Linked DNA regions of Lytechinus pictus. The protein of the gene in region 2 interacts with the protein of the main gene of each other region in a pairwise test. Links are inferred from orthologs where the notes say so. Each region holds a gene or a part of one and is shown on either strand. Other genes may lie near its edges.

Region 1 (10,145 bases), about 26 Mb from region 2:
ATGAGGATCCAGGGAGTTTGAATTTTTGACCCCCTCGCCCCACCCGCGACATGGAAAATTGGGCAAAATTGGCAAAAATTGAGCAAAATAATATTTGTTCAATATTTCCAACGAAACCCCCCCAAATCAGCAGTCTTTGCTCCCTGGGATGTTTTAGCATCCTAACCGATTATTACAGCGAGAATCAAGAGAATCAAGAGGATCCAGGGAGTTTGAATTTTCGACCCCCTCGCCCCACCTGCGACATGGAAAATTGGGCAAAATTGAGCAAAATAATATTTGTTCAATATTTCCCCCGAAACCCCCCCAAATCAGCCGTCTTCGCTCCCTGGGATGTTTTAGCATCCTAACCGATTATTACAGCGAGAATCAAGAGGATCCAGGGAGTTTGAATTTTCGACCCCCTCGCCCCACCCGCGACATGGAAAATTGGGCAAAATTGGCCAAAATTGAGCAAAATAATATTTGTTCAATATTTCCCCCGAAACCCCCCCAAATCAGCCGTCTTCGCTCCCTGGGATGTTTTAGCATCCTAACCGATTATTACAGCAAGAATCAAGATGATCCAGGGAGTTTGAATTTTCGACCCCCTCGCCCCACCCGCGACATGGAAAATTGGCCAAAATTGAGCAAAATAATTTTTGTTTAATATTGCCCCCTAACCCCCCCAAATCAGCCGTCTTCGCTCCCTGGGATGTTTTAGCATCCTAACCGATTATTACAGCGAGAATCAAGAAGATCCAGGGAGTTTGAATTTTCGACCCCCTCGCCCCATCCGCGACATGGAAAATTGGGCAAAATTGAGAAAAATAATTTTTGTTTAATATTGCCCCCGAAACCCCCCCAAATCAGCCGTCTTCGCTCCCTGGAATGTTTTACATGTAGGTTTTATAGGAAAGAAAATTGTAGGCCCTATAATTCTATATACAAAACTTAGGGATTTTCTTCACTTCAAATTGCCAAGTTTTTTTTCTAAAAACAACACCCCTTTAATAATTGATCTAAAAATCCTCTTTACAGTAAATAGGTAAAAGAAATAGAATACAGTATGAAAAATTCTTCATAACAGTCACCAAGAGAATTTCAATTATCATGGTTATTTTTATCCACAGATCAGAAACCAAATCCTGTAGTTACCGGTAATGGAAATGCTTTTTCTCCAAGCATATTATTTGTGCACTGGTTTGAAAATTGATAGAAAGGCATTTGATAAGATATTTAACCTGTAAAACAAATCAAAGTACTAAAATGTGTGTACATCCTCAGAAGTGTATTAAACTTATCAAACAGATAGCTTGTCTACAGGGCAGCGGCCAGCTCTCAGAGAATACATTCAAATCAGAAAACACAAAAGAGGATACATAAATCAATTTTTTGTTGACTGCCTGTTCAACTTATTGTTTTTGTTAAAAATTGGAAGAGTCTAAAATATCCATCAAAGAGGTACGTTAATATCTATATTAGATATTAACATACAATATAGTCATCAGTCTTATCAGACAGTGTTTGACTTAATTAATTCAGTGTGTTTTTTTTTCTTTTATTCCCCTTCTTTCCCTTCCTGTTCAGTAGTCTCCAGTCTTCGTTAGCACAGAGGGTGACCCAGGATTTTCTGAATTATATTATCACCTTTATTACACACCAACCACTTCGGGTTTTTTTTTTAACAAAGAGGGACCCCCCACTCACTTCTAGGGTCTTATACTTTACATGTTATTGTAGTGCACATCTACCAACTGATAAATCTTGACTAGATCTAGGCCTCTACCCCTGGCAATAGAAAACAGTATTATAATTTATATCCCTTATTTAAGATTGTTGTATTGAGAGTGTACACAAGGAGAAAAAGAATAGTTTTACTACGAAAAACGGTTGCCATGAAATAGTTCATTTTCCTTGCTGACGTCATGCATAGTCCATTTTTTCCCTAGGGAAAAAGTGAACTATACGTTTTTTGACCCCGCCCCCTACTCGATTCGCGAGCTGTGCGGCGCGATGCGAGCAGAGCGCTGCTCAGCCCAACGGTACTCTCTACTGCATGCCACGGGAAACTTTCGGCGAGCTGCACTAACCAGGTTCGCTCGCTGAACAGACGATCAATACGACAAGGCTTATTGTTTTCTCAACTTCTCAACGATTGTTCCATCATCGACTTATTAAAAATCGTTTTGCTGTAAAAGTCGGGTATCAACAAAGAATATCGTATGAAGAATATATATGAGTGGAAGGGATATAAAACAAATATACAATGACCCATTCTCGGAACTGGCTAAAACTATTTGCACTTAGGAACATCACATAGTACTATTCTCCCTCGGGCCGATGGCCCTCGGGAGAATAGTACTGATGTTCCTTCGATGCGAATAGTTTTAGCCAGATCCTCGAGTGTCATTGTATATTTGTATAATATTAGAGCTACACTACCCTATTCCATAGCTCTATCATAAACCCAGGGGGCTCCACCACCAAAGCGAAGGCAGCGGAGGCCCCATCTCCCGAAGGTCTAAGTTAGAACCTACACATGTACTACATGTACTGGATTCTATTTGAATTTTAATGTCAGAGTTAAAAAGTCAGGTTTAAGATAAGACATAGAAGAGATCTAGAGTAACATTTGTGGTTCTAGTAGATCTATAATGTTAGCTTACTAATGATGTAAAGACAGTTTCAATCTTGGGCCCTAGAATAGACTAATTACAAGCGATTGCTCGTATTGCCTGAGCTAGATATCTATCCTAGATCTCTTGTATTGCTAAACTAGATTAGGTCCTGCATTAGGTCTCGATTTTGATCTATAAAGCATGAATGGAAGGAGCCCCAGCCAGACCCAGTCCAGGGGCAGGGCTGCACCACCCCATTCCCTGGCCAGGACCAAGGTCCAAACCGGGGTAGGCCTAGACTAAAGTAGTAATGGTAGGGCCAGCTCAGCTCATCCAAAATTTCTTAGATCAACAAGACAACAGTTAGATCTAGACTAAGTCTAAATTAGACGCTTAGTCCTAGATAGAAAACTATCTACTGTAAATCTAGACTAGGAGTTAAAAGGGGCCAAGCAAGTACTTGCTAGGGCCTGGCCCTGCATGGCCATGCCTATTTCATGCTTTTTTTTAAATCTCCGAACAGTTAAGTTAGGGCCTACATAGTCATAGTCATAGATAGGCTCAGCCCAACTTATTTAGGCCTGTGCTTGGCCCTAACTTCCGGCTAGGCCTAGAAATAGTCGAGGGCCTGGCTCTAACGGTCAGTGAGTGATAGAGTAAATTTTGTATAGGTAGACTCTAATCTAAAGAGAGGGTCTAGTCTAATCTAGACTAGGCCTAACGTTAGAACTTGGATCTAGGCCTAGTATTAGAATTTTCCAGGAAGGGCAGGGGTGCTCCTACGGCCGGGCCTAACATCGTTAGGTTTAAAATCAATGAAAATGTCCTGAAGGTTAATTAAAACTTTTTTTCTGTCAGTGTTGATTCCATGCATTATGATTAAGCCATTATTTGTCTGTGTCAGACGCCGGAACCTCCGCTCCGGCTAGCACTGCCGGCGTTGTACGGCTAAAAGCAGCCGGGGAGCATCCGAGCAATTATTGCATAAAATTGACGGCGATAATAATTCATTTAAAAGATCTATTTATACTTTGAAACTTTGAATTCTGATCAGAACGTGAGATATATCTATTAAGCTACGATATATAGCAATGATCTTTGGATACATACCAAAATATGCCTCTATCCCGTCAAAATGGGAAGTCGAAGACACTTTCTCGCACGAACTTGATTTATGGTCAATTATGGGGCTAATCATTGTTAAGGGCATCCTTGCGCAATGTTGCCAGCGCGAACCACCAGCTCAAACTTTTTGACATGTCGTGTAATAAGACATGGAAATTAAATATTCTGAGCTGGTTTTGCAATCATGAAAAAGATGTGTATCTAACTAAAAAATAACTGTACGCTCGCTATTTTTTTTATATACTGACCAGTAAAGGAAGCAGTTAATTACTGCATTTTAAATAGGATACATAACTCACCAATAAAAATAATGCGAGCGCAAAGCGCGAGCTCAAAAATATGTGATATTCCAACATGAAAACTGGACATTCTAAGTATTTTTTGTGAACGGGAAGAGAACGAGTACAATAATTGATGCGAGTGCAGGAAGCGAGCCAAAAAATTGTGATATTCCAACCATAAAGCAACATTCTATACATTTTTGTAACCATGAGCAGGATTAGTACTGTACTAAACAATAATTGGTGCAAGCCGCGATTCAAAATCTGTGATTTTCGAACCTAAAATGTATTATGTTTTATTATTAAAGAAGGTATATTTATTTTTAAAAAAGGGCATATTTCATTTGGAAAAAGAAATCCTACAGGGATTTGGGGGGGGGGGGGGGGTGCAAGAGAGCACAAAGCGCAAGCTAAAATTTTCAAATGCTTAAACTGAAAATGAGTCATTTTTACGATTCTTGTCAGTTTTCATATTTTTTTTTTGCTTACAACCACTTTTAAATTTCAATTCTCATTTCTTGTATCTTCTACACTTATTTCACCTTAAAAAAACAGAATAAAGAATACTAACAAAATAAAGTTATATTCAAAAGGATATAAAATAAACAGGGCGCACACCATATCCTTAGTTGGGAGAGGGTAAATCTTAATTATTTCTTTAAACAGTCCTTAATTATTAATACTTATTGATAATATCAATAATTATTGATTATTCAATTATTATTTTTGTATTAATTATTATTTCTTGAAACTATATTGACACAAAACAAATACGTTGTTTATTTCATTGAAACTGTAGAGACATGAAATTCACTACCTTGAGGAATTCCAATACTACTTCATCTTTTAAAACTAACTTAAAAACCTACTTGTTTAACACTGCATTCTGAAGATCGACAGGCATTCATTTATCTATTTCAACTTGTATTTTTCTTGTTCTAGTTCACTTGTTTCTTACATTAAATTATAATTCTAGCTCCTCTTTTTCAAGCGCCTTGAGCATTTCAACAAAGTGGATAATGGCGCTATATAAATCTCATGTATTATTATTATTATTATGTAAATTTGACTGAAAAAAAGGTTTCACAACAAAATTAAGGTCGTTTTGGTGCCAAGAAATTTGATAAGCCAAAAAATGGGTTTCAACACAAGATGTTGGTCATTTTCCATACATTTCTCTTATAATTATGTGACACATGCACCTATACCAAAATTCTGGAGTGCTGCCCCCGTGCTGCCTATGGAAAATAATACACGCAGCATCCCCTGGGAAAACCTTGGGGGTGCTTCAGCTTCAGCACCCCCAGCAAACTGCTTCCCAGGTCCATGCCCCCGGGCTTTTGCCTTGCCAGCCCCTTTTTTTGGGAGGGGGGGGGGGGGGGTTCGAGTGTCTCATACCCGGTCTCATAGTCATACCCCTCACTCGCTGCTATAGCTAGCTGTGCCAAAGTTTGCAGCATGTGTTTCTTGTTTTACAGTTTCTAATGAGATAGGTAGCCTACTGAAAGCGTCTAGGCTTTTCCAAGGCTTATTAGTCCTAAATTAAAGTGATGCTAAGTATCTCTCTTTTGCTCAAGAGTTGCCATCACGCACACAGCACATATATGAAATTCAAATAATTATTCGCATAAAAAAATATATTTTCTTTCCTTTATTAGAAAAATTTCACTTTTTTAAAGAAGTAATGTGACTTTAATGTTATTAATTTTCACATACTGGCTTGAAGAAAAGCTAAATATTTTTAGGTTAGTGAAAATTTGTTTAGAGAAATGATCCAGAAGCTTCGGAGCAGCTTAGGAACAATCGTATACGGGAAACATGGCAGACGAGGTAATATATGTGCAATATTTTCGCATTTCAACCATTGTAGAATAAGTGAAGACGTAGATGATTTATTTACGATTTTAAGGTTGATAATTGAATATAAAGTTTTAATTTCATTATCGTGAAATAAAAGAAACCCGCGTTAAATTCGTTAGCGCTCTTCGCAATCGCACTCGCAGATTGAATTGCAGTGCATTGCATGCAGTGCAGATTTCGCATCCACAGACTGACACAGTCGTCTGTAGCCAGGCGGCTTCTAACTTTTTAGACTAGAGAGTAAACTAAAAGTCATTTACTTACGTAAGGTTACTCTCCTATGAAGCCAGGCAGTCCTCCCCATTCATCTGCGTGTACCGCATAAACCCTGAAACTTTCGCCCCCGAGATTTCTACTTTCCTTCTAAAAGATCTAGCTCTAAATCATGTATGGCAGTGAGTCCAAACTTCGCGCGTGTCCATACTTCGCGGACGGTCATTATCTAAAAAACTAGCCAATATCCTTAAAATCTGACATCATCAACGTGAAAAGCGACCTAAAATTACCCTTTGGTGTAAATTTCTTTAGGATGAGTTCAGTATTCATGAAAATATTGGCAAAAGATCGGCAAATTTGTCACCGTTAGCGCCCGTTTTGAAGAAATCTGATATTCTCAACAAGCATCACGATATCACCATTTTGCAAGCAGAAATCATCAAAAATGTGAGTTAAATGTGGTACTAACCGATTCTATAACATTTTGCCATCAATCTGATATAAATATTTCACTTTTTGAGCTTGAGTTTTTGTTTAAATGTCCACAAAAACTTTGGTCCGCGAAGTTAGGTCACACTTTTTCTGAACGGTTTTCCAGCACAGCGCGCATTCGCCGATCGGAATAGATTTTTGAGATCGCGATACCGGCGAATCCCCTTGACCTACTTTAAATTTTCGTCCATGATTTTATAGTTTACGATCTTGCCGTCAATGTGGTAACTATTTCTTGAATTGGTTTTGTATAAATTATGAATATTTTGTGAAAAAATTTAAGCCTGATGAATATTTTTGAAAAGTGCGCGAAGTTTGGACACCCCATCATAAATGGGATAAAAACTTCATTTCCGACATTTCTACGCTCTCGTTATTTTTAAAACAAGAATTCATCAAAAAAATGAAAAAATATTGTGAAAAGACGGAAGAGACTTGCCCGATGTTTACGCCGCCATCTTGTTTCTTATTGTACTTCCCCAACGTTACGCGACGCTCGCGTCCGTAACGGGTGGGTAGCAGTCCATGTGAAGAGTGACCCCCCCCGGTACCGTCCTCATCATTAGTACTTAGTAATAGTAGAGTTTATCCATCATAGGGTCAGCAGTACCGCTTGTCTGCCCACACCTTGTCTAGCCTTATTTTGAAACTGTTCACCTGTAAAAGCAATCTTTAGAAGTTGTGTTTTGTTAAATTCATTTTTTTAAAAGTTGTTGCAAGTGCAAAAATGTTGAATTTTGTGAATGTACCTGTGTATAGAATCAATCAGATGACAATAAGATTAAATTATTTCATGGAAAAATACATCGTAATATTACAGTGAGTGAATGAATATTGATAAAAATATTTTATGAAATAATTTGGGCTCTGAATTTGTTTGAAAAATAAAAAGTGAAATTCTAGCTAACCCTTTTAATTGCTAACTGTACGTTCTCAACCTTATTTTTTATACATAAATAGGTGCATATCTTAATTTCTTTACCGCACAGGATGCTTGCAATAGCAAAGCTTTACTGTTGGGGACATTAAATGTGTCAATTTTTTGCGCATTGTAAATTCGCAAAATCTGTGAATATAAAACGCCCGCAAAAATAACAGCTTATAATATCTGCAAAGCTGCTGCATACTGCATGGTCTGTGTTGAGTCTATGCAAATTGCGAGTCCATGCAACACACAATCCGTGCAGTTTTTTGCACATCATTGTAAATTTTTTAATAAATATTTTATCTGCTTTTCATCCTTATTGCCTTATCGTGATATTCACCTCCTTTTTTTATGTGTGTTGTATGTGCTCTTGCCTCTCGGTTTACTCTTTGACTTGACTCTGAGTTTGAAATCGATGTATGATTTCACAGCCACTGAACTAGGGAAATCAGGTCACAGAATCTAGCACTCCCTTAGTACTCTATACGGTGCCGTCTACAGATATCAGTGGATGGGTGGGGGGGGGTGAAAAAACTGTCCACATAACAACAATCTCAATATTATCAAGACATGATTTATTTTTGTTTATGAGGATATCCTAGCTTTCTGGGACGATCCTCATTTTTGGTTGAATGCCTCTACTGAGCTGATGATAATGCCATTAAAAGGATACTCTGGGCCCGAGAAAATATCAAAATAAATAGAATAAACTTCACTGAGCAAAACACTGAAAATTCCACCGAAATGTGATGAAATAACATAAATATTGAATTTTAAAATTTAGCAGTATTATGTTTGAACAGTTATATGCACTGTTATGAATATGGAAATAGTTGGGCTGATGATGTAATGTCTCCACTTTTCATTATTGTTATTACCAGGGCCGAGTCAAAACGTTTAAACGATGTTCAAACGACTGTTAAAAGCATCAATGGTTTTCTATTTTGACAAATGCTTAACTGTATATAGCCAGTCTTGGTCTACACCAAGGCAGAACTGACTTCAACTGAGTATTCTAAGGGCTTTAGATGTATTCTTCTGCCCTATCAAAATTCTCTTGACTCTTTATCGAATCTTTAGACAGGCTTGAAGGCGCATAGCATTCAAGCGTGAATAGGAAATTAATTTAGCCTAGGGCCAAGGCATATGAACAATTGTAGGAGGAGCTGTTTGTGCCAGAAAATAAAGCATTTATCCACTAGATCAAGAGAAAATATGCATTAGAATTGGCATTGCATTGGTATCCACTTCTACCTCCTTAAGTTCTGATTTTGGTCTTGCTCTGCTTCCATTTTACTTCGTAGAAGGGGGCCCAAATATGTCTGCACCATGTGCGTGAGCCTATCCAAAATTGGACTTCAGATTAAACGTGTTTTTTATTTTACCTGACAAGTATTTGATACTCCCATTACCAGGCTTTGAAACTGAAGGAGCAAGGGAACGCTGAATACAAGAAGAAGAATTTTGATAAAGCCATTGAACTCTATACCCAAGCCTTTGAAAAAGATGGAACTAACATCTCATATATCACAAACAGAGCTGGTAAGTAAAATGAGACCCTTTAGTTGCTAATTATGAAACTTTTTTTCCTAGTGTCAGTTTGAAATGGATTAGGCCTTATGCAATCTTCAGTTTTTAATATTTGTATTTTTGCCTTTGACAAATGTTCCAAGAATACATCCAAAATTTAGTTTTTAGAGCAAATGATACAGACCTTTTCTTAAAAGAAGTGAAAAATGTAATCACAATATTATTTCAGGAGCTATATGCAAAGTAAGAATAAGTGGTAGACTCAAGAGCTAGTTACAATTTTGCATTAATGTAATTTCATTTAGAAATGAATGTTTGCATGCAACCATGCTGTAATTAATTCACACATATTTTCACCAGCAAGCAAGTTTCAGGTGATTTGTATCCTGATTGAGATGAGTGGACAATGTTGTAATTGACCTTATTTTTCTTTTGACGACAGCTGCACATTTTGAGAAAGGAGATTACACGTTATGCAGGGAGGATTGTTTGAAAGCAGTAGAAGTTGGCAGAGAGAATCGAGCTGACTTTAAAATGATTGCTAAGTAAGAATTCTTCTATCTTTCAACCATTTTGCAAGTTTGGTATTGATAATGATGCTGTTAATATTAATTTATGTAGTTTTTAATAACTACTTGTATATAGGCATGCAATAAATCTAAGACTTTCTTAATAACCTAATAACACTCATTTATTCAACTGTTCATTGCATTTCAGAGCTTTTTCAAGAATAGCATCGTCATATACCAAAGAAGATGATCTAAAAAATGCAATGCTTTATTACGACAAGTCTCTAGCAGAGAATAGAATCCCGGATACACTGAAGAAGAGACAAGAGGTAAACTATATACCAAAGTGACAGTTCCTTCTTCATTTTTTTTTTTCGATAATGCTTTTTCTTGATTTTAGTTTTGTTAGGTTAGAATCACATTCAGTCAGGATATGTTATTTTTAGTTCAAGGAGCTTGCTTTCTTTGTTAGAATATATTTTTGGGTTGGTTGTCTATTTTGAAATAAATAATCTTCCTTGAAAAGTATATGGCTAACGGCAATTTGAGGAATATGAGACTTGAATGGGTGTACATGTAATTTGAAATTGGCTATATATGTGATGTG
Region 2 (10,981 bases):
ATATACATTATTTTGTCCTTTCTTATATATGGGTACGATTTTTGCTATTTTTAATTGGTCAGGAACAATACCATTATTTATAGATGAATTAAATATTTTACAAAGTGGTTTGCATATGACAAAGATTACTTTTTTTACAATGGAAACATCTACACTGTCAAATCCAGGACTAATTCCATTCTTTAGTTTGCTGGTTACGTCAATTATTTCAGAGTATTTAATTGGAGTAAAAAATATAGAATATGGGTTCTTTGGTAGAGGAGGGCAATAATCATGATCAGTTGATCCTATGTTTTCTGATAGTAAAAGAGGAGCCACATTAATAAAATAGTCATTGAATTGAGTTGCAACCTCTGCATCTTCAAGGGTGATTCCATTATTTTCAAAAGTAGTATGATTTGACCTTTTAGTTTTACCCAACATATTATTCAATATTTTCCATGTTTTAGATGAGTTACCTTTGGTGTCTTTGAAAAGCTGATCATAGTATTTTTTCTTTGTTTTGCGTAGTTCTTTAGTAAAAATGTTTCTCAAAGACCTATATTTCTCTCTATTGCTATCGGAAGGGTTTTTAAGGTAGTTACGATACAATTTTAGTTTCTTCTTTGACAGGCATTTTAAATGTTTATTGAACCAAGGTTTATTTAAAGAGCTTTTATGTTTAGCAGATATAATAGGAAAACATTCATTGTATAATTTAAGGAATATTGATAAAAATCTATCATAACTACTATTTGGATCATCATCATTAATAGGCCAGTTGACGGAAGAGAGTTTATGGTAAAAGGTTGCAATGGAAGTGTCTGAAATTGACCGTTTAGAATAAGCATTGCTAAGACTATCTATTGAGGAAGGGATTTCAGTGATGATAAAAACAGGTAAGTGGTCACTTACATCGGAAACAAACACTCCATTCATTAAGTTATTTTCATCATTCGTTAATATATTGTCTAGGAGGGTTGCAGTGTGACCAGTAATACGTGTGGGTACAGTTATTAGCGGCGTTAAAGAATTGGTATTAATACAGTCAGAGAAGTTCTTGGTGGTTTGAGAAGCATTCATATCATTGAGATCTATGTTGTAATCACCAAGCAAATAACATTTTTTGTGCTCGTTATTGACAATACTCAGAATACAATTCATTTTACAAATAAAATCATCTACATTTCCTGAGGGAGGTCTATAAATTATACCAATAATATACCAAGAGCGTGAGTTATTGTTTGGTTTAACCTCTATAAATATGGTTTCTAGAGATTCAAACATGTACGTTAAGTCTGGTCTCTGTTTATATGCTAGAGATTTATTAATATATACTGCAACTCCACCTCCCTGTTTACATATTCGATTATTCGTTAACATATCATAATTCTCCAAGTAATAAAGAGGTATATGTGAATTAGGTTTGAGCCATGTCTCAGAAAGGCCAATGATTGTAAATTCAAGGTCAATACTATTGAGAAATACTAATAAGTTTTCAAAGTTCTTTGGAACACTCCGACAATTAACGTGTAAAAGAGAAAACATATTCTTAGGATCTTCATTTTTAAGGATATTACAATTATTAAACTGGTTTGGAGTATAGTAACAAGATTCAGAGGAATTGTTGCTGTCGTCAGCATACTGTAAATGTAACATTGTGTCAGTATCAATAGGTAAGGGATTTACAAACATTTTACAAATAAACACTTAGAATAGAAAAGTTGAAATGAACAAAATGTTTAAAACTAGCGAACGGTATACTATGCAAAATTGAACCAAGAGGTGACAAAATATGAGTAAAACAGGCAAATTTCGTAGTAGTACACAAATTAGGATGTAAAAAGTAAAAAGACAATGTAATAGAACAGAATACAAAAACTGAAGAGATTGATAACAAATGTTTCGATGATAACTGTGAGTTGCAGTGTAAGTCACTGGCCTGGAAGTCATTTCACTTTATATTATAAAGTGAGTGTTCATGCTATGGTGAAAAGAGTAGAAGGATTATCATCCTTTAAGGCAAAATTATTCATATAAGTTTGACAAGGTCTTCCTTTGAGTTGATTTGCTTTTTCATAGTTTTGTTGTTTGTACATCGTACAGTTACAATAATCCTCCCGTCCATGGACCAAGCTGATAATATTTTGCTCTCTGGTTTGTTGATCTCCTTAAAGGCTAAAATGATATAGTAAGACCTATCCCTTGTTGTAAGTCCCAGTTAAAAAAATAACAAATATCTATGTTTGACAAATGCATCCACATGGAATTTCAATCGTTACATCTCTATTTTATTACAGTATTAGATCAACAAATCTCTGATCATATTTCCAGTTCTAAATAGATACCTTCTCAGCAATTCAGTTGGTGTTCACAAGTGATTATTCAATCTATGGAAGGTGACTCATGCAAAGTCCAAGTAGAACTCTATATTCTTTTTAGTTAACGAACACAGCTAGTTTCTTTAAAAGTCAGTGAACTGTACTCTGAAATGACTAATTTGCTGTGTGGTTCAGATCCTCCTATGACCAAGGATATCTAGACATTTGGATTGAAGATCGTATATGAATTATAGCAGGGGTGCTCTAAAATTTCAAAATGAAATTCAAAATGAAACCGTTCTGAACTTGGGGGAAAAGCAAGTAAATTTTGAAACAATGCCTACTTTATCCGGGAATTGCCTTCTGAGGTCAAACTAAACTTTTAATCTAGAAATTTTAAGGCTGTATAATCCTGGGCTTAGAATAGATCGGATCTAAAAACTTTTAGATCTTTCCTTAACTTAAGTTTATCACATTCCAACATTGGGGACAAGTAAACGGGGTACTCCATGCTGAAAAAAAGTATAAAAAATCAAGACTAAAATGTTTTATAAAGGATGTACCGTACTTTTTGCCCCAAGAGTCAACACTGTGTTTAGAATATGATTTGCGCGAGGTGTGGCTGTACTAAACCCAATGATGTAGGTAAAGGTAAAACCGACGAAAATACGTGTTTAGGGTGCTTTTCAAGACCCCATGGTCGCGCATGGTATCCACTCGTCAATGGAAGTACCCCCCCCCCCCCCCCCCGGGCCCCACCTTCTATTTTCTTATGTTATTATGTGAGAAAATGTGTGTATGATGTCTCCCATGTAATAAAAATCTTGTAGCAAGAATACCAGTTGTCCAAATTTTTTTATTTGAATAAACATAATTTTGTATAGACAGATCAAGTGAGGATATGACATCAATTTGCTAAATGTATATTCATGAAGACATCCAAAGAACTTAACACCAAAATAATGTCAAGCTTTTAAAATTGTCTTAACTTTGATTATCTTTGTCAAAATTTAATCAAATTTTCAGTGTTTTGATTGTCATATTTTTCTGCCAGAGCCCAGAGTGTACACACCTTTCAGTTAAGAAGAAAATTCATCTTTTCCTTTTACCCTATCCAATATTATTGCATGCGCTGCAATTTGGAATTGATGAAACAAACTTACATCAGATGAATTTGAAATGAGCTCTCTAAGGAAGATCTCCTTGTTTGAGTAGAATGTGTTGATGATGAGGCTCATCAATTGAGCAATCTCTGCCTGGAAGGCAAAGGTCTCTGCCTCTTCAGCTTCCATTGGTTCTTCTGGACGTTTGGTTTCAGTTGACATGGTGGTTTTTTGTGATCTGTATTAAAACTGACTGCAATGAAAGAATAAAAAACTTTACCACAGATTTTTAACCTAGGCTAGACCTATGCTATAGACATAGTATGCCATGGGCAAAGATTCCGCGTACAAAACTGGAAAAAAAACCTTTAAAAGCATTTTTTGGTCACGCATGTATACAGCAAAATATTTGACTGCCCCCCCCCCCCCCAGCATAAATATTTTAAAAAAACACTGCTTTTATTTAAAAAGTTTTAAAAGAGAATTTTCATTTTGAAAAAAATGTCCCCAGACATGCCAGACAAGGAGCAAAATTTTGATGAAATTGAAACAGATCTAGATTCTAGGTCTGGCTTTAGAAATTAGAGATTAGATCTATCAAAAGTTGATCAGACTAGTAAGAGTAAGACTAGGCTAGTTGAAACCATGATCAAGAATCATATCTAGACAATAAAGACACAATAAATCTCACCACTCTTCAGATCTTAAATCAAATTTAGACAAACTTTGTCACAAAGCGTTTCACAATATCCAGACCAGATTCATTCAACTTCAATTCAACTCCCAGTCAAGCCTGCCCTTGTAAACCCGATCCAAACTTCACTTGTCTGACTTAGTCAATTGAGTTGAATAAGGAAATAATGTAGAATAAACTTAGAATTCAGGTAGAAAGATCTTATATACCTAACTTACCTCTTCAAATTCTCGAAAATTCTCTTCTAGAAGATTCGTCAGGAGCAGGACAAGTCAAGACAGTCTACGGCACCGAAACACTCTCGCGTGATTAATGAATGAATGGATATGAACATGTGCGACCGATCCGACACACAATATGGCGAGGCGGCGCCGAGGATGCATATGGGAATTGCATTCTGCATGCACTGGCGCGGGGATGAATTGATATTAATCCGCGGCCATTCAATTCCAATATTTTAGGCTTATGAAGTCAAAAATTGTATTTTAACTAATTTTTCAAGAACATAGATAAAATCGTACTCAATTTTACTCAAATTTTTAATTTCTGGTTTTATTTTTTTATATTTCCTTTGAGAACTATATGTTCATTATCAGATGTGCTTCGGTTTTTCTAGCATATTCGACACCGGATGCGGATATAGGGTTTTCCAATACTTTAATTGAGGGTAAATATTTAATCAAGTCAAATTATTGTCGTGTAATTTGATTTTTATTCTTGCAAAATAAAAATAAAAAAGCGATGATGAACTAGTTATTATATATTTTACTACTAGCAACACCAATAAAGTATCCATAAAAATGTAAAGAATACAAAAGTATCATGTACTGCTTACCGATCGAAAAATGTTTTCGTCCAAATAAAGCGGTAAAATTCACCAATCAGATTCAATTTGAATATTCATCGATTTAAATGCCCGATTGTATGCACGATCTTTGTAAAAAAGCGGCATTTTATCACGATATTTTTTTTGGGGGGTAGGGTAGATGTATTTATCGATTTCCAACAATTGCACAAATTGGTGCTATAATGTTCACCAAACCAATCATAAATAGTTCTAGTATGATCCATGGTTTATTCTCTATCGCTAATGTATCTGCGCATCAAACTTTGATTGTGCAAGCACAGCTACAGAAAGGAAAATGTAATTGAATCTTCCACATGTTGGCAACAAATCGCATCGGTGTGTATCATAACAGAAAAACAGATAAATTTTGAAAATTAATCAGAATTGAGGAAGAGCACATTTTAAGTTATATATGGTTTATGGCAAAAATACTTTAACTCGCTCAGATAACCGAGAAATCAGGAAAATGAATAAGCTGTTTCTATATAGACTAGTTCCTCACACTTTTCTAGTCCCACCTCATTTTTTAATTTTTTTGCTGAAGAAATATAGATTCAGACCACTTTAGTGTGTGTGTTTCCATATTCAAATCAATGCAATTTAAAAAAAATTTAATTTTCCTTGGACGTTCCAAGCACTTTTTGTAATTATGAACTGGATGGCTATTTAATCAAACAATTGATGCGAGTGCGTAGCACGAGCTGAAAAGTTTTTGATATATGAAAACTATGAATACGCAGGATGTGTATTAACGATTAATGAAAACTCTAATAAATATTGACTTGAACATTGGATGTGAACAAGTTATCTACTTATCTTTTTGGGGGGGGCAACTCACAGGGGGGAAATGCCCCCCGTGCCTCCCGCCTTGGTGCCGCCACTGGTCTGGAGCGGAGCCCCCGGAACCTCGCGATATTTAAAGGAGAATGAAACCCTTGAAACCAGCTGAATCCATATCAAAGAGAAAAATCAAAGAAACATATTGTTGAAAGTTTGAGGAAGATTGAATGAATAATAAGAAAGTTATGAGCATTTGAATATTGAGATCACTAATGCCATGTAGTTCCTCCCATTGGCAATGCGACCAAGATCTGTGATGTCACACACGTACAACTCCCTCATTACTTTAGTACTTATTTCACTTATATTCTCACTTTTATAGAGTCTATCACAAGGTGAGGTGTTCTCTTTATGAGAGGACAAGTACAGAGGTTTCACAACATTATATCATTGATGAATCGTTTGTCATATGATTAGAATGAGCAAAAAGAGATGTTTTGGGCTATATTTTCAGTGTCCAAAAGGGGAGAGTTGTTCATCTGTGACATCATAGATCTTGGTCGTATTGCCAATGGGAGGATCTCCATAGCATTAGTGATCTCGACATTCAAATGCTCATAACTCTTCTATTGCTAGTCCTATTTTACTCAAAATTTTGTTGATCTTATTCTCTGATTTTTCTGCTTTCACAAAAGCTAACTTGCTCCAAGAGTTTCATTCTCCTTTAATAAAATCGCAAATGACCACTTTTTTATCAAATCGCTGATAATGAACGAAATATTTTTAGGCAGCACAACATAGCAAATATGGAAAAATTTGTAAAGTCTCCAGCGAGCGAATCGAGCCAGAAAAATTTGGTCTTTTAATATGATTTTATTCTAGTAGCTTTGGAAATTTACCCAAAGTGAACATTAATTTTAAGGCTTTTACGGTAAATCTAGCCAGCGCAAAGCCCCGCGGAAAGCTTTACTTAGGTTAGGATAGAGGGATATAACTAGCCCTTGGCTAACCCTTGGCTAAAGATTTTTTTTGTCCTGATTGCGACCATTAATTATTGCATATAATTTAGCAAGCTTATTTTAGATGCCATCCACATTTCTTCCCGTTCTATATATTTTTCAATTCTCGGCAGCTCGGTCGGGTTATTAAGTTTTTCTCTTTTTTTCTTGTCCCTTTTCTTCTGATTTTCGGATCTACCTTCATTTCCTGTTTCTTTTTGCCTCTTTCTCCCATTTTCCCGTCACATGTTCTTCTTTCGTTCCTTATCCCGCTTTCCTTCCATTTTCCCTATTTATTTCCTTGCCCTTTCTTTTCATTTTTTTCCCTTCTTCCTTTTCCTCTTTCCTTTCTTTGTTTCCCTTTCTCTCTTCCTCCCTTTTCTCCTTTTCCCGTTAAAAAAAAAAATTCCCGGTGAAATCCGCCAGGGGGCAGCTTGCCCCCTGCCCCCCGCCTGTTACGCCACTGTTGAGCCGCAATTTCGCGAAGGGGGCCTACGATTTTTTTTACCAGCTTCCTGAGTTTATATAAAAATCCGTAAAACGGCTTTTTTTCGACACACCGTGCGGACACCGGAGGAGACATGCGACTGAGTCTATTATCTTCTTGTGATATTTGTTATTGGTATGTATGGTTGTTTTATATAGGCATATAATACAGTAGACATAAAAACAAACATGCTATAACATAGCCTATGTTATACAATTGTTTATGTATATTGTTATCATTATGTCAGACCCCATCCCATGATTGAACACAGATTTATATTATATCAGCTCTCACGGGCCATCCAACCATATCATATAGGCCTACACTATCATGGACATGGTTGTTGTTTGTGAGTTATTGTTTATGTTATATTGTGTTTTTATAATTTCGGAAATAAAACAAACAAAACCTTAGGATACGATAGCTACAGATATTATGCGTGATATAAATATTTAAAAAAAGACCAAGAACTTAAATTCTTTTAATAACCATATTTATAGCATCTATCAGCATTAAAATTACTTCCCGGTTCTGAAATAAAATTCTGATAGATTTTCCTGACTAGATCTTAGTCAATCTTATTTTTTTATACAGTGGATCCACTAAAAAGCAATGTGCAATTCATGTGCTGACCTTGCTTTGACATTGGGTATTTCCACATGACGCGTATGGCAAGCCGTTTGTGTAAAAATTAGATAAACTCTGTTTTTCTCAAATAACTGTTCTTTTCAGAAAAACTCAGTTTATCTCAGATAAACACAGTTTTTCTCAAGAAGAACTAAGTTCTTCTTGAAAAACTAAGTTTATCAGTTGATAAACTTAGTTTATCAGTTGATAAACTCAGTTTATCTGTGAAAAACTGTGTTATATCAGTTGATAAACACAGTTTTTCAGATAAACTCGGTTTATCTGAGAAAAAAAGAGTTTATATAGTTTTTACACAAACGGTTTGCCATAGACGCGGGAATCCCAGCTGGGATTCCCCACAGTGCAAGTGGCGAACATTAAACTTGCGACATGACATTGTACGCATATTAATGTGGTCTCACAAAGGACCTACATCTTGCAAAAACTGTACCATATTGGGATTTAAATATTATTGTGCGTGTAGCTGTTCATGGCGTACGTGAGTATTGCAATGTGTGTATGTTCCAGTTTCACTGATTCATGTAGGCCTATTTTCTATATCCCAGATCATTTTGAACTTGAAAGAAGACAACCAGTGCGTTTATAATCTTCGACTTCATCATCTTGAAGCATCACTTCGGGCAGCACTTACTCTGGAAGAATTAGAATAACCATCGTGATAAAATGTTGCTAATGCCCTTTGGCTTTGGTCACAATTTATTTTAGTGTATACTATCAGTACTATTGCGATAAGAAGATTCTAGGCCTATAAAGCCAGGGGCGTAACAATGGTCGGTGGCCAGGGGGGGGGGGGGGGGAGGGGGGCAAGAGCCAAAAATTTCCCGGTCATATCATGGTATGTACAGGATTTTTTTTTATTGTACCCCGAGTATTAGGGCGAAGCTCAACGTGTGATAAGTACAAATAGAGGGAGCACAGCATGGCACGTGCACGAGCGAGAAAAAAAATTACCTTCTATGAGACGAGAGTCTAACTTTAGTTTGAGATTGATTTTGATATGGTATTCAGAAAATAACATCATGTCTTACATCTTCCTTTCATTTCCTTTCATCTTTTCTTTTTTGTTCTCGGTTGTAGAACTTTTTGGGCAGTACTATACTTTCCCGGTGAAATCCACCAAGGGGGGCAGCTTGCCCCCCGCCTGTTACGCCACTGTATATTTTATTCATTTCTTTTATTGAAATGAAATTTTAATTTGTTCGTACTGAAATATTGATAATTATTTCTACACAGTAACTTTTTGAATTAATGTTATACTAAATGCTTTTATATTGGAATGAAATTTTTGAATTGTTTGAATGAAATATTGATTACACACATCTAATATAAACCTTTTTGGAGGCAATACAGTAATTTTTAGGAATTGATATATCAATTATACTACATGCATATTATTGGAATGAAATTTTAAATTGGTAGTAATGAAATATTAATTATACACATTTAAAAACCTTTTTGGAGGCAATACAGTAACTTTTTGAATAACTGCATTTATTATTGAAGTGAAAATTTTTGAATTGTATGAAATGAAATATTGATTACACACATGTAATTTAAATCTTTTTGGAGACAATACAATAATTTTAGGAATTCATTATGTTAATACTTCATGCTTTTATTGGAATGAAATTTCGAAATGCTAAACTGCTTGTAATGAAATATTGAATACACACATCTAATTTAATTCTTTTTGATGACAAAACGGCTCGGTGTAAAAATGGCAGAGGTAAAAATGGCAGAGGTAATAATGGCAGAGGTAAAAATGGCAGAGGTAAAAATGGCAGAGGTAAAAATGGCAGAGGTAAAAATGGCAGAGGTAATAATGGCAGAGGTAAAATGGCAGGGGTTATAATGGGAGAGGTAAAAATGACAGCTCTATGTAAAATATGGCCAGTCTTAAACCCCCATGCAATGAATTGTCAAAAAGCCCCCGCATGTACATACATTAAATAAGAAGTGCATGTCACGGTTAGGCATTTCATCATCATTATGTCTTCATCGGCCTAACAATGCTATTTACGAATTCGTTGGAGGTGTACCGTGAACGCTTTTTAAAAAGAAATCAAACGACAGATATTTTTTCATTCAATTTATCAGGAGCAAAATGAAACTGCACTATTCTCATTCATCATTTTATAACATTCCTTTTTGTCTGGCTGGTTTATTTATATCTAAAGTTTGCCAGGTTTACCGATGCAAAAAGGAGGAAGAGTAGACATAAGAGAGGTGGAGAGACAGAGATGGTTAGGGGCGGGGAAAACATAGAGAACATAGCGGGGAAAGCTTAGACGTTGAAATTTTCACGAATGACTGTCGTTAAATATTATGTCCTTATTTGTAATGTCGTCTGTACTATTCTTTTTAAATAATTGAATGACAATAAGCATGCGTTCCCAGGCTTGGCACTGAATATGTAACTGATTATGAAAATCAATAATAATCTTGTTTTGACTGGTAAACCAATTTGGGGTCGATCGAGGGGGACCGTCTGGTTCAGATTCTTTGCATAAAAGAAGACCCTGAACCTTTACCACTGCATCCAATATGATATAAACGTCTTGATGGTCATAACCCTTGGAAGCGGAAGTACTGTTGGGTATTTTGTACACCATAAGCAGCACCCTCTTGGTAATTAGCTTGGTATGCTAAAATGTAGACATTTTATACAAATACTCTGTTATTTTTCAAACAGAAGAAAAAACATTGTTTATTATCTAATTGTTATTATTTTTGTTGTAATTCTTTTTCTGACCTAAAAGAACTTCATTTAGTTGAAATAATTTTTTGTGTCATTTTCCCCCTTAACCAAATTTTTGGAGTGAAAACTTTTTTTTCTCGGCTTTTTAAAGGTCAAGTCCACCCCAGAAAATTGTTGATTTGAATCGATAGAGAAAAATCAAACAAACATAACGCTGCAAATTTCATCGAAATCGGATGTAAAATAAGAAAGTTATGACATTTTTAAGTTTCGCTTATTTTTCACAAAATAGTTAAATGCGCAACTCAGCGATATGCAAATGAGAGAGTCGATGATGTTCATCACTCACTATTTCTTTTGTTTTTTATTGTTTGAATAATACAATATCTCAAATTTTACAGATTTGACAATAAGGACCAACTTAAC

The links. The genes of interacting proteins can lie anywhere in the genome.
Region 1: the proteins of heat shock protein HSP 90-beta-like (region 2) and stress-induced-phosphoprotein 1-like interact in binary tests that used the Caenorhabditis elegans proteins (3 or more experiments, as listed by UniProt). The link is inferred for Lytechinus pictus from reciprocal best matches to the Caenorhabditis elegans genes hsp-90 and sti-1.

What each region holds. Positions count from the first base shown.
Region 1 is NC_087251.1:32,940,101-32,950,245, forward strand, and holds the start of stress-induced-phosphoprotein 1-like, read left to right. Parts: upstream 1-5,604; 5' UTR 5,605-5,824; coding exon 5,825-5,836; intron 5,837-8,914; coding exon 8,915-9,041; intron 9,042-9,471; coding exon 9,472-9,574; intron 9,575-9,746; coding exon 9,747-9,867; intron 9,868-10,145. UniProt on the Caenorhabditis elegans protein: Plays a role in gonad development. Up-regulates longevity and thermotolerance. Binds daf-21/hsp90 and inhibits its ATPase activity.
Region 2 is NC_087251.1:7,019,103-7,030,083, forward strand, and holds the start of heat shock protein HSP 90-beta-like, read right to left. Parts: upstream 4,713-10,981; 5' UTR 4,316-4,712; intron 3,657-4,315; 5' UTR 3,626-3,656; coding exon 3,464-3,625; intron 1-3,463. Other genes in the region: uncharacterized protein LOC129266063, read left to right, coding at 8,327-8,335. UniProt on the Caenorhabditis elegans protein: Molecular chaperone that promotes the maturation, structural maintenance and proper regulation of specific target proteins involved for instance in cell cycle control and signal transduction. Undergoes a functional cycle that is linked to its ATPase activity.